Linked DNA regions of Notamacropus eugenii. The protein of the gene in region 1 interacts with the protein of each later gene in a pairwise test. Links are inferred from orthologs where the notes say so. Each region holds a gene or a part of one and is shown in the gene's direction. Other genes may lie near its edges.

The links.
Region 2: the proteins of IFT20 (region 1) and WASHC3 interact in binary tests that used the Homo sapiens proteins (3 or more experiments, as listed by UniProt). The two-hybrid records come from large-scale screens. The link is inferred for Notamacropus eugenii from reciprocal best matches to the Homo sapiens genes IFT20 and WASHC3.
Region 3: the proteins of IFT20 (region 1) and EXOC7 interact in binary tests that used the Homo sapiens proteins (3 or more experiments, as listed by UniProt). The two-hybrid records come from large-scale screens. The link is inferred for Notamacropus eugenii from reciprocal best matches to the Homo sapiens genes IFT20 and EXOC7.
Region 4: the proteins of IFT20 (region 1) and EMILIN1 interact in binary tests that used the Homo sapiens proteins (3 or more experiments, as listed by UniProt). The two-hybrid records come from large-scale screens. The link is inferred for Notamacropus eugenii from reciprocal best matches to the Homo sapiens genes IFT20 and EMILIN1.

What each region holds. Positions count from the first base shown.
Region 1 is NC_092873.1:35,659,457-35,666,589, reverse strand, and holds the start of IFT20 (intraflagellar transport protein 20 homolog), read left to right. Parts: upstream 1-4,124; 5' UTR 4,125-4,615; intron 4,616-7,133. Other genes in the region: TNFAIP1 (BTB/POZ domain-containing adapter for CUL3-mediated RhoA degradation protein 2), read right to left, coding at 234-447. UniProt on the Homo sapiens protein: Part of intraflagellar transport (IFT) particles involved in ciliary process assembly. May play a role in the trafficking of ciliary membrane proteins from the Golgi complex to the cilium.
Region 2 is NC_092874.1:284,999,594-285,007,558, reverse strand, and holds the start of WASHC3 (WASH complex subunit 3), read left to right. Parts: upstream 1-4,946; 5' UTR 4,947-5,111; coding exon 5,112-5,162; intron 5,163-5,741; exon of another isoform or gene 5,742-6,117; coding exon of another isoform or gene 6,118-6,144; intron 6,145-7,743; coding exon 7,744-7,842; intron 7,843-7,965. UniProt on the Homo sapiens protein: Acts as a component of the WASH core complex that functions as a nucleation-promoting factor (NPF) at the surface of endosomes, where it recruits and activates the Arp2/3 complex to induce actin polymerization, playing a key role in the fission of tubules that serve as transport intermediates during endosome sorting.
Region 3 is NC_092873.1:342,425,745-342,432,912, reverse strand, and holds the start of EXOC7 (exocyst complex component 7), read left to right. Parts: upstream 1-4,168; 5' UTR 4,169-4,328; coding exon 4,329-4,388; intron 4,389-4,578; coding exon 4,579-4,644; intron 4,645-7,168. UniProt on the Homo sapiens protein: Component of the exocyst complex involved in the docking of exocytic vesicles with fusion sites on the plasma membrane.
Region 4 is NC_092872.1:528,367,421-528,375,081, forward strand, and holds the start of EMILIN1 (EMILIN-1), read left to right. Parts: upstream 1-4,651; coding exon 4,652-4,818; intron 4,819-5,911; exon of another isoform or gene 5,912-6,320; coding exon 6,321-6,446; exon of another isoform or gene 6,447-6,797; intron 6,798-7,007; coding exon 7,008-7,222; exon of another isoform or gene 7,223-7,312; intron 7,313-7,661. UniProt on the Homo sapiens protein: Involved in elastic and collagen fibers formation. It is required for EFEMP2 deposition into the extracellular matrix, and collagen network assembly and cross-linking via protein-lysine 6-oxidase/LOX activity.

The sequences.
Region 1 (7,133 bases):
GGATGATCTCTACAAAGGGCTGTAGGAATGGGTGTGGGAAGTCACTCATTTCTGGGCCCTCACTTACCTGTAACAGAAGGGATAGCCCAAACTACCACTGACGTCCCACTCAGCTCCACTAGTCTATGAAAGGGAAAAGCCCCACATCTCTCATGCAAGGTCTGCCCTGGGACCCACCAGTCCAAGTGCTTCCTGCCGTTACCACTCTTATTTTTCTGGCCTTGGGTCCTTACCCTCCTTGTCAGTCAGCACCTCCATGCGCCCGCTGAACATGGCCTTGAGCATGGTGTCATGCCGGGTGAGCACCCGCACCGTGGTGTAGTACAGGGAGCCTCCAACATTGAGCTGGATGTATTTGTTGCCCATCCCACCACCCTTAAAGCCCCCTGGCTTGGGCTTAGATCCTGAGGCTGGGCACAGGCCAGCCAGGCAGGTATCTCCGGACATCTCCCGCTGCAGGTAGATGACCACACGGCAGGAGGTGGGCCTAGGGCGTTCCACTGTGGTGGAGGAAGTCACAGGCAAGCAGTTGGTGGAGGCCAGAGCCTCATAATCTCAGGACTGAAGGCAGAAGGGAAGAGAGAACAACAGAAGTCAGGAGGACTGTGAACTTAGAGTTAAAAGGACCGCCACAGTCTGGCCACACCCTGTTCCTCTTCTCCCTCCAGGTCCCCATGCAAATGGCTTGGCAGCCCTCAGAGATACAGGCCAGGGCCCAAACAAGAGAGAGGAGTAAGCTGAGGACCCCTGAAGACCAGACAGAGAGGTTCGCAGGGATCACAAAAATGGCATTACTATAATAACATGTAAGGTGTATTATAAATAACAAACGGGATGCCCGTCCCACCTAGGTGTATACTATTCCCAAAGGTTCAACAAGGTCCCAACACTGCAGCCAAGTTAACTGGGAATTTACGCAATACAAGACTTCTCCAGGATTCAGATGAAAGGCACTTAAACTGTCCATTTAAATAGAAAGGGAGGAAGTTGGTTTCCCTTCCCTTCTCATATTTCCTTCCTTCCTTCTTTTTTTATGAAGTAACTTTTAAAAGTCAATTCTGGTCTGTATTCTCTCTCTTCCTTCCCTCCCAACATCAAGAAAGCAAGAAAACCAATCCCTTGTTACAACCATGTGGGAAGGAACTGAGAGATACCACTTGGGGTTTCAGGAAGGGATGAAAAACACATGACTTGAGAGAAAAGACTGGAACAAGCTACAAGGAAGCCAAGGCTGGAGCATCTTCAACTGCCAGGCTGGATAAGCTGATGTGAGAATCATCAACACAGAAATAATTAAATTCGTGAAAGCTGGTAAGATCAAATGCAATATAGTCTGAAGGAAGAAGAGGGCCCAGGAGGAACCCCAGGGAATGTTCAGGAGTGATCTGGAAGAGGATCCAGTAAAAAGGAGCCTGAGAAGGTGCGGTCAGAGAAGTGGGGGGGAAAACCAGAAGAGAGAAGAGTGTCACAAAAACCTAGAGCATTCTAGTGAACTGCTACCCCTGGCCTCAGGCTGCTGGGTTCTTGATTCTCTCTGCTTGGCACAGAATTCATGCCAATCCTTGCAGTTTTTCTATGTCTAGAGAAATGACCAGAAGGCCACCTGCTGGCTTGTCTTCCTGAGCACAAGGGCAGGGGTTCCCAGTCCTTTCCTATTTTCTAAGGGGTGGAAGAAGATCCCAGAAATACTTCATGATCCAGGAAAACCACAAGATGAACCCCAAACACTGGGGATTCATTGTAACACGGAATTCTAGATGCTAGTGGGCCTGGGGAAGTAGAAAGGGAGACAGACTGCACCTCATGCATTAGAGACTGATTTTCCTTCCACCTACTTTTCAAGGTAGCAGGCTAGAGTTATAGGGCGGGCTGTCCTGAAAGTTAGGAAGGCTGGGGTTTGAGTCCTGAATAACTCTGAGCCAGTCGCTTAACTTCTCAAGGATCTTATGCAACTCTTTAAAACAATAAATTTCACCGATGTGCTTTTATAAAGGAATTTTCCTACAATTATGAAATCACAAGTTTGGTTCAAAAAACAATTAGCAAGGTGCACCCTAAGGTGTTCTACCCTTGGAACAGAACAGACATACCAGGCTTGTCTCCCCAACCAGGCTGTAAGATCCCTTAGGGCAAGAATTACACCCTAATTCTGGATCCCTCACAGTGTCTGCACATTGTAGGTATTCATTAGATAATGACTTTGGAGGAGAAACTACAGCTAAAAGGATCTGACTGAATGGCAAAGGAAAATGGGAAAATGTATTAGTAGACAAGTGAGGGCTGCCATAGATAGCACTCTAGGAGAACGGAGATTTTAGCAAAGATCTGACAAGGTCTCCTGCTGCTCTTATGGACCAGATAGAGGGAAGATGCTGAATGACTCCATCTAAAGAAGAGGCACTAAAGGAAGGTGGCCTTGGTTTAATCAAGTACCCCAGGGACCTGTATCTGGCCCTATGCTGTTTACCATTTTTAGGGGTGACTGAAAGGTACTGACCACATTTCTGGATAGTGACAGAGTCTAGAAAGATCTGTGCAGCGTAGAATGTTGGGCCATACCCAATAAGAAGGAATTTAACCGTGATAAAGATAGTCTTACATCTGGACCCAAAACAAGTCCATAAGCTAAGGATAAGGAAGCCCATTATGGTTTCTGAGGGATGGAGCTAAAAGAGACCATTCACCCAGGCCAGCTCCTCACTGTGCAGAGGACAAAACCAGGAAAGGAGTGACTTAGGCTCAAGGTCGCACAGCAGCAGCTAAACAGACTGGAGAGTAGTGTGGTGGGTAAAGATCTCTAAGGTTTAATGCTTTGCCATTAACAGTGTGCTACATGTAACACTGGCAGATATTTGGGAAGAAATGAATAGGGTCTTGGGCTGCATGAGGTGAGGTGAGACTCCTGATGGATTCTGCTCCAGGCAGACCACTTCTGGAATGCTGTGTTCAATTTGGGGTGCTACGATTTAAGAAAAAAGACCTTGGATAAACTGGTGGAGACCCAGGATTAAGGAACCAGGGATAATGAGCCTGGATAAAACTTAGCCAGGTGGAGGGAGAGAATGAGAACTATCTACAAGTATCTGATAGGGGACCCCAGAGGGCGGAGGCTGGGACAATGGGTGGAGATTGTAGAGAAACACAGGAGGAGAAGGTTCTTAACGAGATGGGGCCGAAGTGGAGTGGGCTGCCCCAGGAAGCCTTAAGGAGCTCTGTGCAAAAAGGGAAGGAGGACCACTCAGTGGGCATTACTGAAGTACACGTCGGACTAGAAGTGGCCCCTGCTCACTCGGCCATTCTGGCTAGAGAAGCAAGCGGAGGAAGGAAACACAGGCTCTGTCTCCTAACCTAAAGGGTATTTTCCTTTCAGCTTTTCTAAGCTGCTAAGCCTTCCGGAGCAAGCCAAGAACAACAACGCGAAGGGCTTCTCCCAGCCCTGAGGCCGTGGCCCCCTGCCGCAGGGATGGCTTCGGGGCCAGGAGCCGGGCCGCCCTGGACCAAGCGAGGTCAGATTACATTTCCCTCTGAACCAATGGGCTCCCGGGCTCCGCCCACAGGGAACGCCCTGAAACTGACTCGGGGGAAAAAGAAGTTTCCATCGAGCCCCTGAGCGCTCTTCCTTCCGGACTGGGGGGAGGTCTAGAGGCTTGGGGGTGGGTCCGGGCCTCGGCCAACGAAGCCCCGCGGACTAGGGAACCGACGGGGCGGAAGACGTGGCCCGGGAAGGGAGGCAAAGCGAGGCTCACCCCGGGGTCACCCTGCCCCCCAAGAATGTCTATTGCGCTCCCTTTCCGGCTCTTCCTCTGCTACCCGCTCTGCCTTCTTCCCCTGTTTTCTCCCCCTCCCTCCTCTCGCCCTTCTCCTCCCACCTACCCTTCCTCCTCCTCCTCCTCCCATCTCCCCTCCTCCTTCGGGCCGGGTCTCAGAGGACGGCGAGGGGGCACACTCACGGCCTCTGGTCCGGGGCGCGGGGCACGGGACGCGCCTCCCCACCTCCCCGCCCTCCTGGGGCGGACGCGGCCCTTCTCTTACCTTCGTCCCCGGAGCGTCTTCCTAGGGCTCTGTCCGGCCTGGACCCCAGCTCCGGCTCCCGCAGCCCCAAAGAAAAACGCCCCGACCCTGACCCCGACCCCCGCCCCAGGCTCTGGTAGTGAGCTCATATCCTCCTCAGGCTCCACCCCGAGCCCGGCTCCCACGCCTGCCGGGGAGGGCCCACGACTACAACTCCCAGAATGCAAAGCGAGGGAAGGCACGTGTCTCGGGGGGATGTTTTTCTCCTGCCCACGCCTCCTGGCAGCCGTCTTATCCCCGGGAAAGAGGGAAAGCGACTTCCGGCTCCTCCCTCGGCGCAAAGGAGTAGGGGAGGTGTGGGCTTTCCTTGCAGTCTAACCTTCGCTCCTCAGACTCAGCTTCCCAGCAGGCATTTCGAAGAGGGAGGTGGAACCATTTCCGGCGGCGAGTTCGCGGCGCGGGAAGTGACGTGTACGGTAAACAGGAGCTGTAGCCGTGGCAGCGCCGGGGCGGGCGGCTCCGGGCGGCGGATTTAGCTGCTAACCGGAGTGCGGGGCCGCCGTCTCCCGCGCCCGCCCCGCATCGCGGCGGGCCCCGGCTTCAGGTGGGTGGCGGCACGGCTCGCGCGACTATTGGCCTCGCCTCGGAGGCGCGGGCGGGTGCCTCAGTTTCCCCGGGAGGCTCTCGGGGAACCCCCGGTAGAGGGCCTGGAAGAAGTCGGTCGCCCCGGTTCCACGAATGTTTCCAGGGGGCTGCCTGCCCTGTGGCCCACGCCCGTCATCACTGAGTGTGGCGCTCGGCACCGCGCCCGGGACCCCACGTGGGACGGGATTTGGCCCGGCGGGGGCCCACCCGCCAAGTCCGAGGGCGGAGGAGGTGGCTTCGGGGCTGGGGTCCCTTTGTGGCTGTTGGGGTGGGGCTGCCCTGGCCTTCGGGGCTTCGAACTTCCCAGTCCCTTGTTCTGGGGGCAGCTGGTGGTGCAGAGGATGGAGGCCGGAAGACTTAGGTTCAAATCCGGCCCAGACACTAACTAGCCCATTGCCCCCCTCCAGAAAAGCAAGTGGCACCTGCACCCCATAAAAGGGTGCTGGAGGGGCCTGGCCATTCTTTTCTCTTCCATTTTTGTGTCTTGTGTCGATGGTAAAAAAGTTGTTAGGGACCCGGCACGCGTGACCTGGGGCCACTTAAGGTGAGACAGCCTGGCCGGAATCTGGTCTTCACCTTTTCGGTTTCAGAAATTTCATTTTAGCCAATTAATAGTCAACACTGTGTACCTGCCTCAGGGCAGCCAAGAGGTGCAGGGGGTGGAGCTCTAAGTCTGAAGTCAGGAAGACTCATCTCCCTGAATTCAAATCCAGCCCCAGTCACTTACTAGCTGTGTGACCCAGGGTAAGTCACTTCACCCTGTTTGCCTCAGTTTCCTCATCTGTAAAATGAGCTGGAGAAGGAAATGATACACCAAGAAAACCCCAGATGGAGCCGCGAAGAGTGGAGCACAGTGAAGAACCATTTAACCACAACTGTGTGCCTGGGGCTGTATGGGATGTTCAGGGAGGACCAGCTCCTCTGGTGTGAGGCCTTGCTGAGCCCTTTTCAGGGCTGCTCATTCACCTTTGTTGTTTACCTATCACCTGTGGCTCCAAGAAACTATCACGCCCCACGGCGTACCTCAGGAACCATTTTGGCCGATGTGACCCACAGGCCTCGAACCCTTGGCTGAGTTAGGGGGCTGTCTACCCCAGGTGTGTGAAGATTTCCCCAGCAGAACGGGGGGATGAGAACAGTTTGTTCCAACAGCCACAACAGTGACCGAAGTAGGTGCCGTGGAGGGCTCGGTCATGTATTGCAGCCTGGCCATTGCCAGTTGTCCTCAATTGGATGACTTTGGAAGAGTGAGGCTGGCAACCTTGCAGGACTGTTTCATTTAAATCCAATTCACAGGCAAGTCAAGACATCACCTGAGTTGTTCTTGGTCTTTGAAAATGAAGAATGAAAAAAATCAACACTATGTGCTTGGCGCTGTGCCAAGTGCTGGGGATCCAAAGAAATTCCTGCCCTCAAGGAGCTTGTAGTCTGATGGGGGGAGCCCCCTCCAGGTGACCTGGCCTGGGGGCACAATGCTTGAGGAGTTGAAACCAACAAAGTAGCTGAGGAAGTTAACCAAAAGAAGGGAGGCCTTGGGGAGGAGTTCATTGCTCTGTCCTCCAGCCCTCCCTCCAGTCTGAGGAGAGAGGCACCTGAGAGTGCTGAGGAGGTGTGAGCAAGATGATAAGATTTCAGGGGAGGAGCTTTCCTGGGGGAGGCAAGATGTTCCTAGAGCTGAGCCCATGTCAAGAGAAGGCAGCTGGAAAAGTTAGCTGTTCCCCAATGACCGAGTCCTAGGGAAGCTTCGCTTGCAGCAACCCAGCTAATGCAAACTTATTAATTTGTAATGGGAGAATCTGTGCTGCTTGTCTGCATAGGGCACTGTTTCTTGGGTGTAGACCAGATACCCAAATCTGAAGGTGACTTGGTGAGCCCAGCTGAAGAGCAAAGGGGGCTGTATCTTTTTTAGGGGATACTCACCTCAAGCTAGGATAATTTGATGGAGTGTCTGGTAGCAGTCATCTGGCATCAGAACACTCACACTTCTGGATGGTCGGGGAAATACATCAACAAGTCCTTCCCCTTTGGCTCGCACCTGCTCTAAGGCCAGCAACACCTTATGATGTTGCAGTGCAGCTAGTTACAACTTGCCATGATCTGCATTCTAGCCATGATTCTCTTTAGGGATGCTGAGGCCCCAGGTCTTACTGAACCCAAGTTCACCAGTCGTCCACTGAGCATTATTCAGCTTCTTGAATAAATCTCTTTATCAAAAAGTGGGTATCATACATACCTAATCATCAACCTTTTAAAATTATTGTTGGTCATAGTATTGATCAGAGTTAGGTTTTTCAAAGTTATCTTTACAATATTGTTATACTATCAGTTCTCTAGGTTCGTCTCACTTTACTCTGCATCAGTTCATAAATTCTTTCCCAAAACTAACATTTTCCTAATTTCTTGCAGCATAATAAAATTCATTTATTATTTGTTTAGGCATTCCCCAACTGAGAGGTGCCTCCTCAATTTCTAGATCT
Region 2 (7,965 bases), on another chromosome or scaffold:
CAGAAGCCACAGAACGGAGCAGATGAGATTTCTGCTCCAGAGAGCCTGAAAACCTCTTGCAAAAGGTCCCTCGCTCCCCGGACCCGGAGCAGAGCCCAACCCTGCCTCGGTGGCATGGAAAGGAGCAGATCCGAGCAGGCTTCAGGGACGGGATCTCCAGCGGCCACGCGGGTTCCCCACCCACAGGTGACAAGGTTCGGTGAGAGGGTCTCTTTGGCGGGTCGAGAAGGGAGTGGGGTGCCCCCATAACTCAGGCCCCCTCAGAAGGCAGCAGCGGAGGCGGAGCAGACCAGGGCTCCCCAAGCATGCAGGAGTCCAGATCCATTGTTGAAGGTCTCTGCATAAACCCCCTGAGGGAACTGAGCACCCGTGAGGTAGCCCTGCCCCCACCTGAGCACCTGAACTTAATCTCACACTGAATAGCAGCCCTGCCCCCGCCCAAAACCGAGGCTGGGAAGCAGCATTTGAATCTCAGACCCCAAGTGCTGGCTGGGCGGATCTGGAGGCGAGGTGGGGGTGGAGAGGACACTCAGAAGTCAAGTCACTGGCTGGGAAAATGCCTAGAAAAGGGGAAAAAAATAAGACTATAGAAGGTTACTTTCTTGGTGAACAGGCATTTCCTCCCTTCCTTTCTGATGAGGAAGAACAATGCTTACCATCAGGGAAAGACACAGAAGTCAAAGCTTCTGTATCCCAGCCCACTCAGTGGGTTCAGGCCATGGAAGAGCTCAAAAAGAATTTTGAAAATCAAGTTAGAGAGGTGAAGGAAAAACTGGGAAGAGAAATGAGTGACATGCAAGCAAAGCATGAAAAACAAGTAAACACCCTGCTAAAGGAGACCCAAAAAAATGCTGAAGAAAATAACACCTTGAAAAATAGGCTAACTCAACTGGCAAAAGAGGTTCAAAAAGCCAATGAGGAGAAGAATGCTTTCAAAAGCAGAATTAGCCACATGGAAAAGGAGGTTCAAAAGCTCACTGAGGAAAATAGTTCTTTCAAAATTAGAATGGAACAGATGGAAGCCAATGACTTTATGAGAAACCAAGAAATCACAAAACAAAACCAAAAGAATGAAAAAATGGAAGATAATGTGAAATATCTCATTGGAAAAACAACTGACCTGGAAAAGAGATCCAGGACAGACAATTTAAAAATTATGGGCCTACCTGAAAGCCATGATCAAAAAAAGAGCCTAGACATCATCTTTCATGAAATTATCAAGGAAAACTGCCCTGAGATTCTAGAACCAAAGGACAAAATAAGTATTCAAGGAATCCACAGATCACTGCCTGAAAGAGATCCAAAAAGAGAAACTCCTAGGAACATTGTGACCAAATTCCAGAGTTCCCAGGTCAAGGAGAAAATATTGCAAGCATCTAGAAAGAAACAATTCAAGTATTGTGGAAATACAATCAGGATAACACAAGATCTAGCAGCTTCTACATTAAAGGATCGAAGGGCATGGAATAGGATATTCCAGAAGTCAAAGGAACTAGGACTAAAACCAAGAATCACCTACCCAGCAAACCTGAGTATAATACTTCAGGGGAAAATTGGTCTTTCAATGAAATAGAGGACTTTCAAGCATTCTTGATGAAAAGACCAGAGTTGAAAAGAAAATTTGACTTTCAAACACAAGAATGAAAAGAAGCATGAAAAAGTAAATAGCAAAGAGAAGTCATAAGGGACTTTACTAAAGTTGAACTGTTTACATTCCTACATGGAAAGACAATATTTGTAACTCTTGAAACTATTCAGTATCTGGGTACTGGGTGGGATTACACACACACATGCACACGCACACGCACACACACATAGAGACAGAGTGCACAGAGTGAATGGAAGAGGATGGGATCATATCTTAAAAAAATGAAATCAAGCAGTGAGAGAGAAATATATTGGGAGGAGAAAGGGAGAAACGGAATGGGGCAAATTATCTCTCATAAAAGAGGCAAGCAAAAGACTTATTAGTGGAGGGATAAAGAGGGGAGGTGAGAGAAAAACATGAAGTTTACTCTCATCACATTCCACTAAAGGAAGGAATAAAATGCACACTCATTTTGGTATGAAAACCTATCTTACAATACAGGAAAGTGGGGGATAAGGGGATAAGCAGGGTGGGGGGGATGATGGAAGGGAAGACATGGGGAGGAGGGAGCAATTTGAGGTCAACACTCATGGGGAGGGACAGGATCAAAAGAGAGAACAGAAGTAATGGGGGACAGGATAGGATGGAGGGAAATATAGTTAGTTCTTATTATGGAAGTCATTTGCAAAACTACACAGATTTGGCCTATATTGAATTGCTTGCCTTCCAAAGGGAAAGGGTGGGGAGGGAGGGAGGAAGAGAAGTTGGAACTCAAAGTTTTAGGAACAACTGTCGAGTACTGTTCTTGCCACTAGGAAATAAGAAATACAGGTAAAGGGGTATAGGATAGAGACAAGGGCAGAGAGGGATGATAAAAGAGAGGGCAGATTGGCAGACGGGCAATTAGAATGCTCGGTGTTTTGGGGTGGGGGGAGGGGACAAAAGGGGAGAAAATTTGGAACCCAAAATTTTGTGAAAATGAATGTTAAAAGTTAAATAAATAAAGAAAGAAAGAAGGAAAAAAAATAAATTAAATAAATAAAGTCATTGTTGACCTCTCAAAAGTTGCCTTTCCTTTTAGAAAAGCTGACCGTAGAACACATGATAGCAGGCCCTCCTCTGTATGTAGGGGCACTTGGTTCTACACCAGTTTGATCTTTCATGGTTCTTTCCAAAAAGAAACTCATCACAACTAGATGGTAGAGATGGTAGACGCTCTACCAAAGGATCCAGTCTCTGGTCTGAAATGGTACATCGTCTTCTCCAGACAGGGGAGAGGTTAGTGGTGCAATCATCTTACCCCTTCTTTGTGGGAGGCAAAAAATACATTTACACTGTGGTACAAGCAATCACGGGAATCACAGTTTCCAGCTGTCCTTTGGTCACTGACCAAAAGGCTTTGGGCAATTTCCCTGGTGACTGCTTTGAAATCTACCTATGCAATAGTGTCAACTTCACGTCATATAAAAACATATATACTGTGATGGGAACATATTCATCACTATAGTGTTTAGTCATCTGAATTCATCAAAAGATAAAAGAACCATCATGTGTGCTGTTCTTGTCTTTATAGTTTTAGAGAGCACATGACAACTTACAAGGCCTCACAACAATCCTATAAAACAAATGGCACCATTACTCACATTTTACAGATTAGGAAACTGAGGCTGAGAGTAATTGCCTTGCCCAGGATCACACCACAAAAATGTGGCTATGGCAGAATCAAAACTCAGGTCTCCCCTTCTCCATCCACTTTGCCATTCAGTTGCCCTAAGGAGACAGCCTAGCTCTGTGTCACTATGCCCAGCATGGCCTTGGATTGTACTTCTGAAAAACCCTTCATAATAGGCTTCACACAGTCTGTGGATCAGAGATGCTGAAGTTTGCTCATGGCCTTAATAATTCCACTTAACTTTCTTTTTTCCCTTGAACCCAGTTTTCCTACGAACAGGCTGATGTTCATTCAAGGGGGAGTTTAAGCAAGGGCCCTCTGGATACTTCTAGTACTGAAATGTTGTTTCATATCCCAGAGAAAAGGGATGTCTCTTGCCACCTTCACACCCAATCACACTAGTTACATGGGCAGCTAGATGGCACAGAATAGAGTGCTGGGCTTGGAATCAGGAAGACTCATCTCATGAGTTCAAATCCTGTCTCAGACACTGACCAGCTCTGTGACCCTGGTCAAATCACTTAACCCTGTCTGCCTCAGTTACTCACCTGTAAAATGAGGGTGAGAAGGAAATGGCAAACCTCCTAGTATCTTTGCCAAGAAAACCCCAAATAGCTCAAACAGTCAGATGTAACTAACAACAATACACATTAATTGCATTCAGAAACCCGTGCAGAGTAGTTATCACTTCTATTCTCAAAGCTACAAAGATCTAGCACCAGCAGTTTCCATTATTCAGAGCACAGATCAACTGTGCTCTGAATAATAACTAACTCCAATTAAATATCAGTCCACTATGAATCCATATATTAGGCAATCTCCCTGGGCCTCAGTTTTCTCTATGGTAATGTAATGGAATTTGAACTAGATTGCCTTTGGGGTTACTCAGCTCTGGAGCCATGACTTTATACACAGGTATGGCTGACTACATGGTCAGTGGACCTGAGATATGGAAAACTAGCTACCTAAGCTCCCTCCCACCTCTGGAGTCAAGCCCCTAAGTACAGGTGTGGTTACCTGGCCACCTGAACTCCTTCCCTACTCTGGAGGCATGATCCTAAATGCAGGTGTGGCTACCTGGTCACTTCTCAGCTCTAGAGTCAAGCCCCTAAGTACAGGTGTGGTTACCTGGCCACCTGAACTCCTTCCCTACTCTGGAGGCATGATCCTAAATGCAGGTGTGGCTACCTGGTCACTTCTCAGCTCTAGAGTCAAGCCCCTAAGTACAGGTGTGGTTACCTGGCCACCTCTTAGGTTTGGAGTTGAGTCTAAAAATGTGTGCGGTCACATGGTTACCTGGAGCCAGCTGTCAGCCCAGGACTAAGTGTGGCTACCTGGTCACTTCTCAGCTCTAGAGTCAAGCCCCTAAGTACAGGCGTCGTCACCTGGCCACCTGCGGCCACCTCTCAGCTCTGATCCTAAATTCACACGTGCTTACCTGGCCACGTGATCTCTCTTTCTAGCTCTGAGACTGACTTTAGTTGTATCCAAGTTTGACTGCAGCTCTCTTTCCGAGAACTGTTCTTGAGCATGCGCCATCAACTTTCCCAGTAGGAGAGTAGAGGAAAAACTACAATTCCCAGAAGGCTGTGCGGAAGGGACCAGGGGAGGTTGGTTTCTTCCGCAGACTCAGAGCCAATGGGAGGCTCTGGAACAAAACTACGACTCCCAAAGGGCCTTGCGAGCGGGGCTCAGTTGGTCTTCTCCGCAAGCGCAGACACCTCGGCTGTTAGCTGAGTCCACTTCCGGGGGGAAAGGGCCGTGGTACCTCAGACTGAGGCTGCCAGTCGGGACCCGCTCCCGTTGTCCGGGCTGGGAAAGCAGGGGGCTTGGGGCCCGCTCGCCGGGGCCATGGACGAGGACGGGCTGCCTCTGATGGGGTCGGGCATAGACCTGACCAAGGTTGGTAGGGGAGGAGGGTCGCTTCCGGGGCTCCCGGGGTCACGGAGACCCTTCCTCTAGCTTGACGGAGGAGGAAACTGAGGCCCAGAGAGAACACTTGGAGTCCGCGTGACCGTAGGCAAGTCACTTCTGCTCTCTGAATCGCCCTTGCCCCATCTGTAAAATGAGGGGGTCAGGCTCCGAGGGCCCGGCTCTAGATCCGTGATCCTGGGATCCTGCCTCAGTTTCCCCATCTGTAAAATGGGGGGTCAGACTCCAAGGTCCCAGCTCTAGATCCGTGATCCTGAGAATTTTTCTGTGCCTCGGTTTCCCCATCTGTAAAATGAGGGGGTCAGGCTCCGAGGGCCCGGCTCTAGATCCGTGATCCTGGGATCCTGCCTCAGTTTCCCCATCTGTAAAATGGGGGGTCAGACTCCAAGGTCCCAGCTCTAGATCCGTGATCCTGAGAATTTTTCTGTGCCTCGGTTTCCCCATCTGTAAAATGAGGGGGTCAGGCTCCGAGGGCCCGGCTCTAGATCCGTGATCCTGGGATCCTGCCTCAGTTTCCCCATCTGTAAAATGGGGGGGTCAGACTCCAAGGTCCCAGCTCTAGATCCGTGATCCTGAGAATTTTTCTGTGCCTCGGTTTCCCCATCTGTAAAATGAGGGGGTCAGGCTCCGAGGGCCCGGCTCTAGATCCACGATCCTGAGAATCTTTCTGTGCCTCGGTTTCCCCATCTGTCATCCAGAAGGAACCTTAGAGGGGGCCATCCAGTCCAATAAGAAAACTGAATCCTACAGAAAACGCAAGTGACTTGCTGACGTCCCACCCGAGCTGGCCTTCTGACCCCCGCCCTGTGCTCCTTGTGTGACCAGGAGTCACAGCTCCTAGACTGAAAGGCAGAGGAGCACAGCTGGCCCGTGCCTCCCTTCTGTGCAGTGTTTAGTGGCACGCCTGAGGTCACAGACAGAGGAGATGCGCATCCAGGCCCTTGGACTCCAGGTCTGTGTCCTGCCAGGGACCAGCGACCACTTGGGCCACATGGTGGTGGTGGAACCACACCCTTCCTTCCTCTGCCCTTCTCCTCCTTCAGAACGCAAGAAGCTGTTTTGTTTTATTCCCTGGTCAGTGGGAGGCACACAGCTGGGTTCCACCGGCCAGCCTCCCAGACATGGCCCCAGAGCTTGGGACAGGCCTGGAGGGAGGCACTGAATACGCTGGAGGATTTTCTTTACTTGTTAGTTGGTTGCTAAGTGGCGTGGTCCTTCCTGCTTAAAGCCTAGGTGTTTGAGAAGATTGTGTTCCTTGGCCATTTTTTCTGATTGTTTTTCATTAATTCTGATGTTTAATTCAACCCTCTCCTTTAACATAGGTGGAAACTGAGTCCGGAAAAGTGACTAACCCAAGCTTACGCAACCACAGAACTAAGCCTCCAGGCTCAAACAAGACCCTCCACCTCTCCCCTCCAGACATTTTCTTTGGCTGTTCCCCATTCCAGGAACGTTCTCCCTCTTTCATTCTAGGTTTTTCTACCAGGCACCATTATTTATTATTCCTCTTCATTCCTATTTATCCTGTAGGTAACTTGCTCTGCATGTTTTTGTTCCCCGCTTTAGTTTATAAATTCCTGGAGGACAGCGACTGACTTTTGCCTCCTTTTGTAACCCCATTACTTAGCATAGCCTGGCACATAATAGGTACTTAATAAATGTTTATTGATTGATTGAAACCCAGATCCTCTTAATTCCAAATTGAGGATCTTTTCTGGGCACTAAAATGTCACCAAGTGTCATTGATCCCAAGCCAACACCTTAAATTACAAATAATCAAACTCCTGAATGGGTTATAAAAAGAGGTCATCCTGTCTATCTTTGAATGGCTCCTAGAAGAGTAATTCTTTCCCAGAATTCCCCATTTCTGCAGGTTGCAGAGATAAGTATTCACTACTTAGACCTGTCTCACCTCATAATCCATTTTAATTTTCTCATTAAAAAAAAATATTTTTTTTTTCAATGCAGATTCTCCGTACTCTGAATCTTGTGTCTCTCGGTCAACTTCAGACTTTGCCATAGAGCTGCATGGTGTAGTGGAAGAAATCCTGGGTTCAGGGCTCAAAGTCTGGCCTTTTCATTTCTTTGTGCCCTTGGATGAGATGCTTCCTGGCTCTGAACTGTCTTTAATTGTTAGGGAGCATCTTGTATTGATCCAAGATCTGTCTTTACTCTTTGCGCCTAGTTTGGTTCCATAAGCTAGGCCAAGAAAGGAGAATTCTTTTTCCCTTTATTAACCCTTTAGTGCTTAAAGATAGCTCTCCTAGGATTTGTAGGAAAGGATCTAAGAAGTAATCTGTTCCAGCCTCCTCATTTTATACATAAGGAAACTGAGACCCCAAGAGGGGTAGTTCCTGGCCCAAAATGACACAGGTAGTGAGTTGCAAAGCCCAAACTGGAACCCAGGCCCTCTGACTCCAAAATGAGTGTTCCTGGCAGTGCTCTGAATCTCACACAAAGTACTGAACCGTTTTGAGCCTAGAAGCCCTTTCTCCTGCTCGAATTATTTTGTGTTTGTATGTTAATTATGTTGTGTTTTTACTTAATGCAGGTGCCAGCAATTCAACAGAAAAGGACTGTTGCATTTCTAAACCAGTTTGTGGTTCATACTGTACAATTCCTCAACCGCTTTTCTACGGTTTGTGAAGAGGTAGGTTGTTTGGTGTTTGTTCTTAGAGTGGCAGAGAAATGAGGGTGAATTTTTTTGTTGGAAAAGTGATTCTGGCATCAGGGCCAGTACTCATTTGTTCTGACCTCCAATTCACCTGAATTT
Region 3 (7,168 bases), about 310 Mb from region 1:
GTCCACTATTCCATATCTTGTGAGATCTTCTGTGGTCTTTTGGCTTTGGTTTTGCGTTTTCAGAGTAGCTTTCTCAATTTGCTTCCATTGACATTCAAGAAGATATTCCTACCTCAATGAAAGTTGAGCTCTTCTTAGCATAGATACCACAGTCCTCCATGTCTATTAGCATTTGCCTCACCTCAACTCACTATGGTGACACCAGCCAAGATTCAATACCAGTCATGAGTGGATAAAGCTCAGAGCTATGTATTACCTTTTTCTGGTTACTGCAGACTAATCTTATCCTCTTTCTTAGATACTACCATACTTCTCTGAATTATTCTCTGTAATTGAGAATGTACTTTGACTCTAAAGTCAGGAGGTTTATTTTCTTTATGCTGATCAATAGAACATGTAAATGTAGCATATGCTTCCTGAAGAGTTTCACCACCGCCATATTGCATCTCTAGGTTTTGGATACATATTAGTCATGTGATTTTAAGCAATCTAGTCTTTAGGACCTGTACAGAGCAAAGAACTATTACAGGAAGGAGCTTGTAGTCCCCTGGACCTCAGTGGCCTTTTCAGTAGCAGGGGCTACCTTTATTAGATCTATGGGCATATATTACTCTCTCTCTGCTTAAAAGTTCTCTTATTTGTGGAAACTTGCACTTGACTAAAATGAAGTCAACGTCTCTTCCTCCTTTCACACCTCCACTGAAGTGAATATGGAATGTATCTCCTGCCCTTTAAAGACATCTAAATCTCTTGCCTAATCTGATGTGCACCTGCATTAATTTTATTAGGATTTAGTAGCCATTGTCTTTTCTTTAATGTGAAAGAGAAATTGATAGGTAGGTACATAGATAGAGATAGCACATTTATAAGGGGCTGACCATGTGCCCACTGTGCTAAAACCATTGGAGATACAGAAACAAGCAAGCAAAATAATCGCTGCCTTCCTTACATTCCAATTGAGGAAGATACTAATGAGGGCTGGAGAGATAGAGATATAGGAATTCCAAAACTGTAGTTGCCTGTGTGGGCCATTTGGAAAAAAATTCCCAAACTCAAGCATTATTAAGGTCAAGGTGGTAAAGATTTATTACACTTTTCAGCGGGCAAGAGTTCTTAGGGAACCTGCAACCTTGGAGGGGTATAGGTAAAGTTTATATAGGATATTCTATAGTAAAACATGTGCCAAATATGCTAACTAGGTGATTCAGGGCAGAATTAAGGAGTGATTAAGGAGTGGTTAGTTCTTAAAAGGAACATGCACTTTTGGTATCTACTGCACAGGTATTTTACCCAGAGTTCTTTGGGAACTAGCCCAAGGAGGGAGTTTTAGGCCTGAAATGCCACTAAGTCAACTAACAGACAGGACTGACTAAGTAATAAAAGGCTGCTCTCATCAATGTCTTGTTAGACAAGATAAATGTGAAGGAGTATACGTATGTCTAAATCTAGGATAATGGTGAGTAGTAAATGTCATTATGACCCAGTACACAGCCGATTCAAACTAATAAATTCTACAGCTGGCTACTGCAGCAGGAAGGGAGACAGCCATTTTTGCTGGAGCAGGCTGTTGTTGGGCTGGGAGGCTAAGGAGAAATTTGATTTTTAAAGAGAAATGTGATTTTAGAATTGGGGTCCAAGCACATGTACCCAAGCACCCCATCAATACCTTAAAGGGGAGCTGTAAAGCATGAAGAGGTGGGGTAAAGAAACATAGTGAGGCATGTGAATGTTCAGAAGTAGAGATGAAACCTAGCTCCAGGAAATATAAGGTGAAAGGTCATCAATTAGAAGCCAGGGTGATTCCAGGGAGGAAGTGAGGTTGATGAAAGGAGTAATGAAGGGGGTAGGGGGAGAGAGAAGAGAGGGAATGATGCATTGACTTGGGTTGTTAGCTACAGAGGCAGAATCAGCTTTTCCTCACAGGAAGGGAAAAGATAAACTTAGATGAATTTGGCAATTAATGGGAAACTGATCTCTCACCTGGAAAAAGAAAGAATAGGGAGCTATCCCTTGTGATGCTTGGCATCACCAACTGTTAACTCTCAGCTCTTGGGAATTTATAATTGCAATCACGTTATATAGCAATATCCACCCATCAAAGTGTCAAAAGATGGGAGTGGAGGGGTAGGAAAGGGAGGAAGACAGCAGGCAACAGGACATTAGCCACTTTGCTCAATTCTGCCCACCCACATCATAGAAGATAAAAAACAAACTCTTCTTCCAGCTTTTTTTCCCCAAAATTCTATAACATATAAAGTCCTATAAAGCCAAGTTCAAAAAACCTCAGCAGTTGGTGAACTCTTGGGGAACATCTGCTTGAGTCTCTTGTCTCTGTAGCAGGGATAACTGGGCTAGGTGTCCATGACCCCAGGGCTACGTTCAATACTACAAAAAGTGCTGCTATGAATATTTTGGCATCTATGGGATCCCTCTTTCTGTCATTGACTTCCCTGAGCTATACACCTAACAAAGAGATCTCTAGGTTAAGGGGCATGCTGATTTTCATCACTTTTTTAAAAGCATAATCAATAAATCAAATATTCATTAAGTGGTTACTAAGTACCAGATGCAGTGCTAAGGGCTAAGGTTAAAAAAGACAAAAGTGAAACAGTTCCTGTTCTCAAAAAGTTTGCATTCTAAACACTGTATTCTATACCAACAGAAAGGTTGGACCAATTCAAGGCTCTGTATGTATTAGAACACCTCTCTTTCCACAGTCCCTCAGTTTCAGTGTTTCATAGAGACAGTTTCCTTCCCAACTTGTGAAGAGTTTGGGGAGGTCTTCCATATGTTTGAATTGGACAGGGTTATGCTGACCTGAAAACTACCAAATAACAATTTTGAGTACCTAGTTGGTAAAGTGGATAAAATGTTGGCCCTGGAGTCAGGAGGACCTGAGTTCAAATCCTGCCTTAGACACTAGCTGTTTGCCCCGGGGCAAGTCACTTAACCCTGTTTGCCTCAGTTTCCTCCTCTGTAAAATGAGCTGGAAAAGGAAATGGCAAATCACTGTCATTGCCAAGAAAACCCCAAATGGAGTCATAAAGAGCAAACAAACAAAAACCAACAACACAAAAACCAAAAAACCATGATTGAACAAAAACAAAATGCTGAACAGGGATGCTGAAACTGGTCTCCAAAGGGGACTTTAAAGATCTGAGCAGGACCATTAGTGGAGATGTTGACATTCTCCCTCCACTCCCCAGATCAAGAGGACTCTTAGGATGGGTGCTAAAAGGCTAGAGGAGGGAGGCACCCAGACAGCTAAAAAGTCCTGTGTAAAATTGCCAAAAGGTTTAAATTTCCTCTCCTCAACTCTGTCTCCTTGTGCTAGCTATGCTAAGAGGCACTGTAAAAAATAGAGATACGTAATAAATACTGCCATTCTTTTAAAATTTCTTCCTTATTCTGATTTCCTTTCTCTTTACTTAAGGCCTGTGCTCCATCATTAAAGCTCTGTATTGCACTGTCTGTATATTGGTGTATAAAGGAGTATAAAGGAGAGGACTAGCAGCCACCTGAATACATTTTTTAAATAAATCAAAGATTCTTTGATGACACATAGATTTTTATAAACGGAACTTCTTTGGTCTGGTGACCAGAGCCGCCTCTCTTGGTGAACTTCAGGCTTTTTATTAACAATCTGTATTTTAAAAGCGAACTTCCCAAAGACGAGTGTAAACTGGATCAAGACTGGTTTTGCTTCTGCTAGTCAGCGCCTGCAGCAGACGGGTTCACTAATAACTCAAGCGGCCCACCTTCAGAAGCACCTGGACCCACACCTGGGGAAAGGGGAAGGCTCCGCCCCCCAGCCGAGCCCCCAGGGCGGAGGCGGAGACAAAAGCGGAGATTGCCCCGCCCCTTTCTGTTGGGAGGAGGCAAGTCCTCCTCTGCCAAACTCTGGCTGCCCCCGTGACCCCCGCTGTCTACACTGATTTGTGTTAGTTCCCAAGAGATCTTGGACATAAAAACTTTATTTTACGCAATGATGTTTTTCCCTTCGAAAGAAGGCTTCCCTGCTAGAGGAAACCACTTCCTAGGAGATACACTTGTCACGCCCAGCAGTGATTTGCCCAGGAGCGAGAATTTTGTGCGCATGCTCCATCTCAGCGAGGCGGGGGTGGGGGGGTTGGGGGAGAAAGAGAGGAGGAGTGTGCGCATGCGCCGTCCTAGCTCCATCTCCGAGAGTGGGTAGGCCCGCAGCAGACGGAAGTGGGTGTGCCGGAGACGGTGGCCGAAGAGGGCCGCTCCGGAAAGGGCCGATGGAGTGAGGGCCGCAGGCCGGAGGGGGTCGCGGGTTCCCTAGGCCGGTCCCGCTCGGAGCGGCTATGATTCCTCCACAGGAGGCGTCCGTGCGGCGGCGGGAGATAGAGGACAAATTGAAGCAGGTGAGGCCGAGGCGACGGGAAGGGGAAGGACTGCTTGGGAGATGGAGGAGGGCTTGGGGGGCGCGGAGGTGGGGAGAAGGAAGGGGATGGGACCCGCGGCCGGCGGGGCGGCGGAATCGCCCCCTCTCCGGCCCACCCCACGGGGTGACTAACGCCGCCCTCCTCTATCATCCATCCGTCCATCCCCCAGGAGGAGGAGACGCTCTCCTTCATCCGAGACAGCCTGGAGAAGAGCGACCAGCTCACCAAGAACATGGTGAGTGTGGGGCACGGCCCCCGACCCTGCCCTGTCACCCGGCAGGCCTTTATGGAGCGCCTCCTCGGTGCTCGGCGCGTCGCTAACCGCGGGGGACGCAGACAGGCCGGAGGCAGTGCCTGCCCTTCTACGACCCAACGGGAGACCCGTCGTGCAGACAAACACAGATAGGAGAAAGTAGAGTGTGCGTGATTGCAGAGAACCTGGTGGGTGTTGTGTGGCCGCAGTTTCCCCGTCGGTAACCCGAGGGGGTCGGACTCATTGATCCCTAAGGCCCTTGTCGGTTTTGGCTCTCTGTGCTCCGGATGATTGTATCCTTCTCCGATTCTGTGATGTTCCCCTCATGTTCGGTTCTGTGGGCCACGGGCTGATTGCAGGGTTTTCGGTCTACCCAGCTCTGCCCCCGCTGCCTCTCTTGAGTTAGGACCCAGAAGCTGGTTACTCTTCTTATGTCATGTTTGCCTTACTAGTTCCTTGTCAGGTACCCCAAATAAATACTGATTGGGCATCCACCTGCATGTTACACTGTGTACAGGCTCTGTGGAATATAGAAGAGGTGGTTTCTAAGCTTATTTTCTGAAAAGGAGATTAGATGAGCACAAAGGAGTAGATTTAACTGTGATCGTGTACAGGTACATTAAGCACCAGGATGGTAATAAAGGTACAATATGTATGGAAAGCAATAACTATGTGCCTTTATACTTCCAAATTTCAGTTTAGACATTTATTAAGCACTCATTGTGTACAAGGCACTCTGTTAGGTAGTGGAGATACAAAAACAAAGAGAAACTGCCTTCCTTCAAGAAGCCACCAAGTGGCTGTAAGAAATGAGCCACATGTATAACCTTAAAAAAAAATGATAGAAATGATAAATATGTGTAGATAAGATAATTTGAAGAGACTATGTGCTAACAATTGGGGAAGTGAAAAGAAGCTTCATAGAGGGAAAAGGCACTGAGTGGATCCTTGAGGGAAGATAAGAATTTTGAAAGGCAGAATTGAATAGGAAGTATATACTAGATATGGAGTATAGTTTGTGCAAATGCATGGAGACAAAATATGGAATACCTAATTAAGATAGGTAATGCACTTAGTAAGCACTTGCTGTGTACAGAAACAGTGTAGCATGCTAAGAATGCAAATGTGTGAAGGGGAATAATATGAATTGAAGTTACAAAGTTAGGTAAGAGATAGACTATGGAAAATTTTAAATTTTAGAAAATTGTACTTTATTTTAGAGACAGTAGGGAGCCACTGAAGATATTTGAGCTGGGGAAGGACATAGATGTACCTGTTCTTTAGAAGGATTATTTTGGCAACTCTGTTGAAGGATTGGAGATGAGAGACTAGAAGTTAGGAAACCGGTTAGGAAGTTATTACAATAATAGTTCTAGCAAATGATGAGAGCCTGAACTGGGGTGAAAGTGTGAATGGAAAGAAGATTCCACATTTTGAAGGTGGAATCAACAGGACTAGGCAACTGATTGAAGTTTGTGGGGAAGAGAGAGAGGGAAAAGTTTAGGATAACTCCAAAGGTCCATACTTGGGTGACTAGGATGAGGGCAGAGAAACCAAAATAGAGACATTACTTTCATCAGTGTGAGTAATCTCTCCACCTGTGCACATCAAAACTTCTACATCCCCTCGTGCGGTTTCGTGAGTTGCTGGGGCCAAAAAACTTCATCTTCTAATAACCAAACATTTGGTGGTGAGTTTCTTTGAACTTAACTAGACTGGTTCTCAGATGACATTTTGTCACCGATTCAGTGTCTCAGTGTGGAACCTACCAGAGTTTGCTTTTCTTTCTAACAGACTTCACGATTCCCACTACAACATGATGAGGCACTGAAGCAGAGCTTTTGTGAAGGAATATCTGTGTGCATGTAGTTATTTATAATAGCCATACACATATATAACAAGAGGCAGTGGAATTTGATGGATAGAAAACTGGTCTTGAAACTGAGAAGACCTGTCATACATTGCAAGTCACTCAACCTGTCAGTGTTCTAGACCATCACTTCTTAAATTGTGGGTCACAACAGTGGGGCTTTGAAAATGTTGGCAACAGTAAACAGCGAAACAATCAAAAACTAATTAAAAATCAACCAAGTAATGAATGCCAGGTGTTTTCTGGCAGTACTTGCCCATGTTGCTTCTTGCAGCTTCACTTCAGCCTTGGTTCTGAACACAAAGCATGCACAGGTTACACTGTACATGCTCTCAGGCCATACACCAAGGAACACTGCCAAAACATGAAAAGGGGTCCCAAGTGGAAAAAGTTTGAGAAGCCCTATTCTAAATAACTCTCTATGAAGCCCTATTCTAGACAACTCTCTAAGTTGCAGAAAAGATGCTGATCTGTATTGGTAGAGGGAGTTCCCACACCTTGATCTTCCCCTTGCCTGCCACTTATAGTATAAATGTTTATTGACTGACTGACTTGACTTATTCTTGTGTACATACAGACAGACATATATATTTCATGTAGATAGAAGCAAAGAGTAGGTTTTGAAAGATTGTCAGG
Region 4 (7,661 bases), on another chromosome or scaffold:
GTGTGATGACTGACTCGTAGACTTAGCTCTTCTCAGCAATACAAGGATCTAAGACAACTCCAAAAGACTCACAATGGAAAATGCTATCCACATCAATAGAACTATGGAGTCTGAATGCAAATTGAAGCATACTATCTGCTCTATTTTTGGTGTTTTGTTTTGTTTCTTCTTTCTCATGGTTCCTCCTATTGGTCCTAATTCTTACAACATGACTAATGTAAAAATGTATTTAATATGAATGTATATGTAGAGCCTATATCAGACTGCATGCATTCTTGGGGAGGAGGGAGGAGAAATTTAAAACTCAAAAGCTTATAGAAGTAAATGTTGAAAACTAAAAATTAATTAACTAATAAAAATTGTCAAGAGAAAGCATGTTGGGTGGACCCCCTTTGGTGAATTATGGGGAGACATGAAACCAGGGCCAAAGGGGTTTGGGATGGGGTGGAAGTAGGGGATGATCTGGATTATTGAAAAGCCAAGCCAATGAGATCACATTGGAGCACTGTCATATGATCACAAATAAGTATTAAAGATGTAGTATGTAAATGGAGGATATAATTATTACTATGTCATTATTATTTGCCCTAACACTTGTGCTACCTGCTGCACATGGGGAAAGAGAAGAGTTGAAAGGAATGAAAATAAAGAATGTGGTCCCCACTGCATGAAGATTCTTGCTATGAAATCCTACTCAAGTTGGATTGCCACCTGGGCTGGCATGGCCCTAATAAGTCTCATTCAAACTGTATATCTTTCTTCCCCATTATCAGGGGCATCTGAGAAAAGAGCAGTTCATCATAAAACTCTCCTTTGTCTATTTTCTACTTGCTTCCTGGTAAATCTGTAAGTGCCAATTAGTATGGCCTGGATTACCCATTGATACCTATATCCCTACCATGTGCAAAGTGAAGACAGGAGAGTCAAAAGAGCATGCATGCTAAGTCCAACCTCCCCACCTGGTGCTCCAAAAGTCTTAGTGTAGTTTTAAGTTTTGATAACTTCACAAATAGAAATTCTGTATGCTTAAAAAAAATCATTTGAAAGCTTAGTTGTTCAAATTTCCTTTGCACCTACTTAGTTTTGTGTCTTTTAAATAATAAAATTGTAATTTTAACGAGATAGGTACCTGCTTATTATGAATTATATGTGCATAATACTGATACTTTCTCAGACCAGTAGATTTGATATAGGCTACCTCAGTCACCTGATCTCTCTCTGTTAGAGTTTTTTTTTTTTGTGAGGTCATATCAAAACTGTTTCTAGGCATCAAAACTGCACTCCTTGGATTATCTTAAGCCTAGAAATCCTTTTGGTCACTGAGCAGTAATAAAAGTTTTGCAAATTTCAGAAATCAACTACAGTAAGGTATAGCAAAAGATAGCGATGATGCTGAATTTTAATAGAAACAACAATATTTTTTTAAAGTGTATGTGATTAGCCTTTCAAATGCAGGTGTTTTGGTAAGTTTTTAAGCAGTTATACTTCTGAAGTTATTAAAGCTTAAAACTGTACTGACTTATGGGACACCTTGCATGTAACTCAGAATTTTATAGTTGAAACTTCAGTAGTCATCTGGTCTGATCCATACTCAAAAAGGAATCCCCACCATAACATATCCAACAAGTGTTCATTCAACCTCTGCTTGAAGACCTCCAACTAGAGGGAATCCTTTAGTTCCCAAGGCACCCTTTGCCACTTTTGTTGTTCAGTTATGTCCAACTCTTTGTGACCTCATTCGGAGTTTTCTTGGTAAAAATATTAGAATGATTTGTCATTTCCTTCTCCAGCTCATTTTACGGATGAGGAAACTGAAGCAAACAGGGTTAAGTGACTTGCTCAAGGTCACACAGCTAGTGTCTGTAGTGAGATGGAAACTCAGAAATATTAGTCTTCCTGACTCCAGGCCCTGAGATCTACCTATTTTGCACCTACCTGCCTCATTTCCACTTTTACATATGTGTATATATCAACAAAACCAAAGAAAAAACGTACACAAAATCAGAAGATTTTTAGCTCGTGTATCTTTATTAAGAACTTATTTTCTTAAATTATTTGGTATACTAATTTCATTTGAGTTGGTTTTTCTATTTGATCAAGATATAAGTGGTTAAATTTGGCTGAGGATTTGATTAGACATTTATTCTATGATCTGTAAGTTTCTTGATGATTTTTAGTAAATGTACTTACATTAATATTTAAGAGAAAATCTTTTTTTAAAATTTGCTTCTGATAAGAAGATACAAAAGAAAAAACATTTTAGTGGCACAAAATTTATTTAATTTACTTGAAAAATGTCATTCTTTCACTGAGAATTTGATTGTGGCTATTACCATACTCTAGTGGCTCTTTGCATTGTGATGTGAGCCTTTTCCTGTCAAAGACTCCAAGTGTATACACGCAAATGGAAGAGACCTGGTACTACTCTCTCTATACCCCACCTTTCATGTAGCTCAGGGACCCCTCCTTAGCCAACTGCCATTGGAACCTCAGCACTCTCCTCCATCTGACCAACTGCCACTATGACCTTTCAACCCCACCTTCTATCCTCATCCTCCATGACTCTCAAACAGTTTCAGGTAAGGCTGCTACTATTGCTTCTTCCAACCTCCCAACTCCATTCATCTGATTTGTATATTATCTCCATCAATGCTTACATCCTCCACCAGCTGCTCCCAATGCCCTGGTACTTGAAATTCATTACTCATCCTGTCTGCCTTTTATGAGGGGTTCTGTCCCTCATCCTACTGTAAGGATGTCTTCAACTTTCAGTGAGAGTCTCCAACAAACCTACACTGATGATATTCCACAGTCCAATCTATAGGGTATCCCATAACTTACTGTGAGGATATTCAAAAACCTACTATCAAGGTGTTCTACAACCTACTGTGAAGGTATTCCAAGATATTCTGAGATATTTGGCATCATCTGCTTCCAACCAAATCTCCCACTTCATCCACCTTGTCTCTCCAGGTTCGTTTCCACACCTCCAAATTCCGGTTGGACAGTTTTATGTGGATGCTTACCATCATCTCATACTTGATCTGAATTCAATCACCTTTCCACCCCAAATCACCTTCTCTGCTCTCTAAATGTCATAGAAACATAGAATCTTAAGAACTGAATTTATTCAGTCCAGCCTCTAATCTCTTTCCATTGGGAAACTGGCCTGTTCCACCCATCCCTGATTCCTAAATGTGTGCCTTCCTCACTTCCCAACTCAAACTGTCTTTGGAAAGCTGATTGTAAAATTTTCAGTGTGAGCTTTTCATCGCAGAAATTGCGACAACTCAGAGCTTGATTTATTGTTTTGTTGGTAGTCTAGGCTTGAGAAAGTGAAAGTGACAGAGAAAATGTGAATGATGCAGATTAAGTGTAAAAATGTGTGGTAAATTTTTTGAGAGCTGGTGATTAAACATTTACCAGCATACTCCTGCCTCCCTCTTAGAATCTCTGGCTTCCTTCAAAACCCAGCTCATATGGCATCTCCTTTGAAAAGTCTTTCCTGATGCCCTTGCTAGTTCTTTCCCTCTCTTCTTGAAATGATATGTGTGCACATACATACACGTATACATAAAGTATGCATGTTTATGTGTTTTCAAACTAGAACACAAACTCTGTGAGGATAGCAGCCATTTTTCATCTTGTTTTTCTACCCCTAGCACCTAGCACGGTGCCTTGCACATAGTAGGCACTTAAGTAAATTGCACTGAATTGAACTGAGGCTGAGAGGCTTAAGTGCCCCAAATCATCCACAGGAGCTAGCTAGCCTCTTCTCTCCAGATTCCCTCTTTCTCTTCTATGTCCTGGCCAAGACACAAGTTCTCCAGACCCTCCCCCACCTCTCCCAGGTATGCCTCCCCCAGCCCCAACCACCCCAATCCCAGAGTCAATCCCCAGATTAACTCTTGGTCTTGCTGTTGTCTCTGCTGCTCGGACTCCCTATATGAGTGGCCGGCCCCAGGTTTCTCCCGCCCCAGCTCTGGCCCTGGCTCCATATGGCCCTGTCTGAGCGGCTGGCCCCCTGCCCGGCGGCAACTCCACATTTCTGTTTCACCCCCCCCCTTTTTTTTCTCCTTCCCGGCGTTAACAAGAAGCAGATGTGGAGCTGCTGGAAGGGGGGTGGGGGGGTTGGTAGGCTGGACCTCCAGCCAGACTGGGGGGAGGGGAGGGAGAGAAGCAGAAGGCCAGGGCCCGCCCCACACAGCCACCCTCACTCAGAGCCGCCACAGGGGCACAGCCTCATCATCCTAGAGGAACCAGTGAGCAAGGAATGGGGCAAAGAAGGTAGCAAGGAAATCCAGAAGAGTGGGGATCAAGGAGAGGGCTGTGAGGGGGCCAGGGAGAGGGGCTTGAGGAGACAGATCCAAATAGGTAAAGAAGAACTGGAGGACTAGGTGCTAAAAGAACAGACTCCCTTCTGAAGAGGAAAGGAGAGCGGAAAGAAGAGAGGGAGGGACAGAAAGAGGAGGGGGGAAGGATCAGGATAGAGGGGGCGTGAGGCTCTGGCAGGCAGGAAGCTGGGGAAGGGGGGATAGGGGTTCTCTCTCCTTCTGAGGAGCGTCAGGATCCCCCTGGGACTGAGGCAGAAGCAGCCAGCTGGGCTGGGATGTGCAGCTGAGGCCGGGCACAGAGTGGAGCCTCCCCCAGCATGGCCCCCACCTCACTCTGGAGCTGTTGCCTCTGCTGCTTGCTGGCTGGGGCAGCCTGGGCTGCAAGCTACCCATCTCGGGGCTACAGCCTCTACACTGGGGCCCGGCCCCTCACTCCTGGGGGGCCACAGGCTCAGAGTGTCCACCGCCCAGCTAGTCGCCACAGGTAAGAGCGTTGACCCCCAGCCCCATCCACTCCTCAAGTACTTTCCCTGAAACTTTCCTACCACCTCTACCACCTTTTCCCCAGAGGAATGAAACTGAGACTTGGGTGGGGTGAGGGGTGGAACAAAAATTACATATCCAGGCCACTCCATGCATTCATTGACCTTCACCTAGGCCTAGCCTGCCAGGTTTATGGAGTTTTGGGTTTAGAAATAAACCTGATGATTTGCATGACTGCATATGTATAATCTATATCAAATTACTTCCTTCTTAAAAAAGGGAGGGGAAACAGGAAGAGAATTTGGAACTCAAAAAACAAATGTTAAAAATTGTTTTTACATGTAAATTGTAATATACATGTAATGCAGATATAATTGGGAAAAATATATTTAAAAATTTCACATTAGAAATAAACCTGACTGAACTGGTTAAAGGTAACCCAGAGGTGATGGCTCCTTAGCTCCCTACCAAGGGTTCCCTGCTCTGAGACCACATCAGGCCCTACTTTGCTTCACTCTCTAGCCTCTGGTTCCCCTAGCCCACCCATAGTCCCTGGGCAACAGGGGCTATACATACTCTGAAAAAGACTACTCACTGCGCATAGTAGGGCAGGGAGGCCAGGACTTGAAAGAACAGCCCCTGCATTCATTTCTACCCTTTTGTTCCTTTTACCTCCCTGGCTGCCCCTGCCTCTCCCCTTAATGTGTTACTGACCCTATTCTCCTTGCTACCCTTTGCCCTTCTGACCCTCACTTGATCCTGTCACAGATCAGAGGCCCTATATAGATGGGGAGCCCTATATAGATATACTGAAAACTGGAAATGTTTTTTTGGTGTGTGTGTGTGTGTGTGTGTGTGTGTGTGTGTGTGTGTGTGTGTGTGTGTGTGTGTGTGTGTGTGGTGTTGGAGGGGCAGAGTGGGAAGGGAGTGGTGAGTAACTACTAGTGAATGCCTCCATTATCCTTATCAGTCCTGGGCTGTGACCAGCAGAGAAAGGGAAAAGCCCTAACTCTTTTCCCCTGAAGGTCTTAGGGCAACATCCGGCAGGATAGATCTCACTCACGTAAACAAACTCACATAGAGAAACATACAGATATAAACATATGTACATACTTGGTATTCATAGATATCACGAGGTGACAAACATTCAAAGCTCTAAAATTAAATGGTTCCATTTAGAATTCTATGCCCATGAGCATATGCAGACACACAAGTTCCCAGACTCATGGCAACAACTATGGATAGACACATCTATACATAAGCAAATGGATGTATACCTGGCCTCCTCCAGGCTCCTAAAGAGTATTCTCTGGATGTCAGGAGGCACTCATTTTTCCTATTCTGTGCTTCCCCATTCTAAAAAGTTATTCTACGACCCCCTACTGATCCAGGAGGTACGGGGAGAGAGCCCAATGGACGGCCCTGCCTCTGTGCAGCTCCATCCCCTGCCTTCTTCCTGGGGTCCTTGTTTCAAGGCTCAGGCCTTGATGGTTATGCCTGCAGGAACTGGTGTGCCTACGTGGTCACTCGGACAGTGAGCTGTGTACTGGAAGACGGGGTGGAGACCTTTGTCAAACCCGACTACCAGGCCTGTGGCTGGGGCCAGCCCCAGTGTCCCCGAACTATCACGTGAGTTGCCTGGGCCAGGAAAATGGAGACTGGGTGGGGGTGGGAGACCAGATCAAGATGGCAAAACCAGGGAATTTGACTGGAGGCCAAAGAAGCGATATGGGACTGAGCCTGGAAGTGGAGGTTAGAGCCATTTAGAGTCAGTGGTGAGCTAGAAATATAGACTAGAGAGATTGAGCTGAGAACCCACTCAGGGACGTCTTGCTGCCCCCTTGTGCTGCTTTCTGTTTTGGGAGCCCAGATCTGGGACTGAAGCAGGGCACAGGAGGAAAAAATGTGGGCAAGCTCATGTGGGCTCTCTTGCAGGGATCCAGGAATCACCTGGAGACTATGCCGGACTTCCTCACAAGCCTGGTTTTTAAGACAAAAAGAGAAAGTCATCAGTAGCACATTTACTGAGCAAAAATCTGTGCTAGGTGCTCCTACGTACAAAAGCTGTGTAAAGCTGAATCAGCTCTCCTCAAAAAGCTAAGCACACTCACAGAAAAAGATGACTAATGGTACAGGAAAGTCTATGTTATGTCCAACGCTTACTTCTATCCCACCTTATCTCTCCCTTAGGTATCGTAGCTTCCTCCGCCCTCGATACAGAGTAGCCTATAAAACAGTGACGGACATGGAATGGCGGTGCTGCCAGGGTTTCGGGGGTGAGGACTGTAGTGAGGGGCCAACCCCAGCCCTAGGTACTACCACTCCCCACCCTCGGCCTCATCTAGCCCGTCCCAATCTCTCAGGGTCCAGTGCCGGCAGTTACCTGAGTGGACTTGGAGGAGAAGGTAGGTACCAGGAATAAGAAGAGAAACGAAGATGGAGTAGCCCTGTCTGGATAATGTGGGGCCACATAACTGGAGGCAGGGCCATTACTCCTGAAAACAGAAAAAAATTTTTTTAAAGTACGGGTAAAATGAGCCTGACAGATAGGTAATAGTCTTCCTCAAAGACTGTCTGCCCTACTCTGCAACCCTAGAAGCAAACAGCTGTGTGTGTGTGTGTGTGTGTGTGTGTGTGTGTGTGTGTGTGTGTGTGTGCGCGTGCTAGCCAGGGAGGTAAAGCAATTCCCTTTTAGTAGGTGAGGGGTGATCAGACAGAGCATATCCTCTGGATCTGTGTGCATAAATTGGCAAGGGCTCCTTGTGGGTGACACAGATGACCCTTAAAATGAAAATGCCTCTCCTACAAAGAATCCATGGAAAGACATACTAACTTCCCAACTCT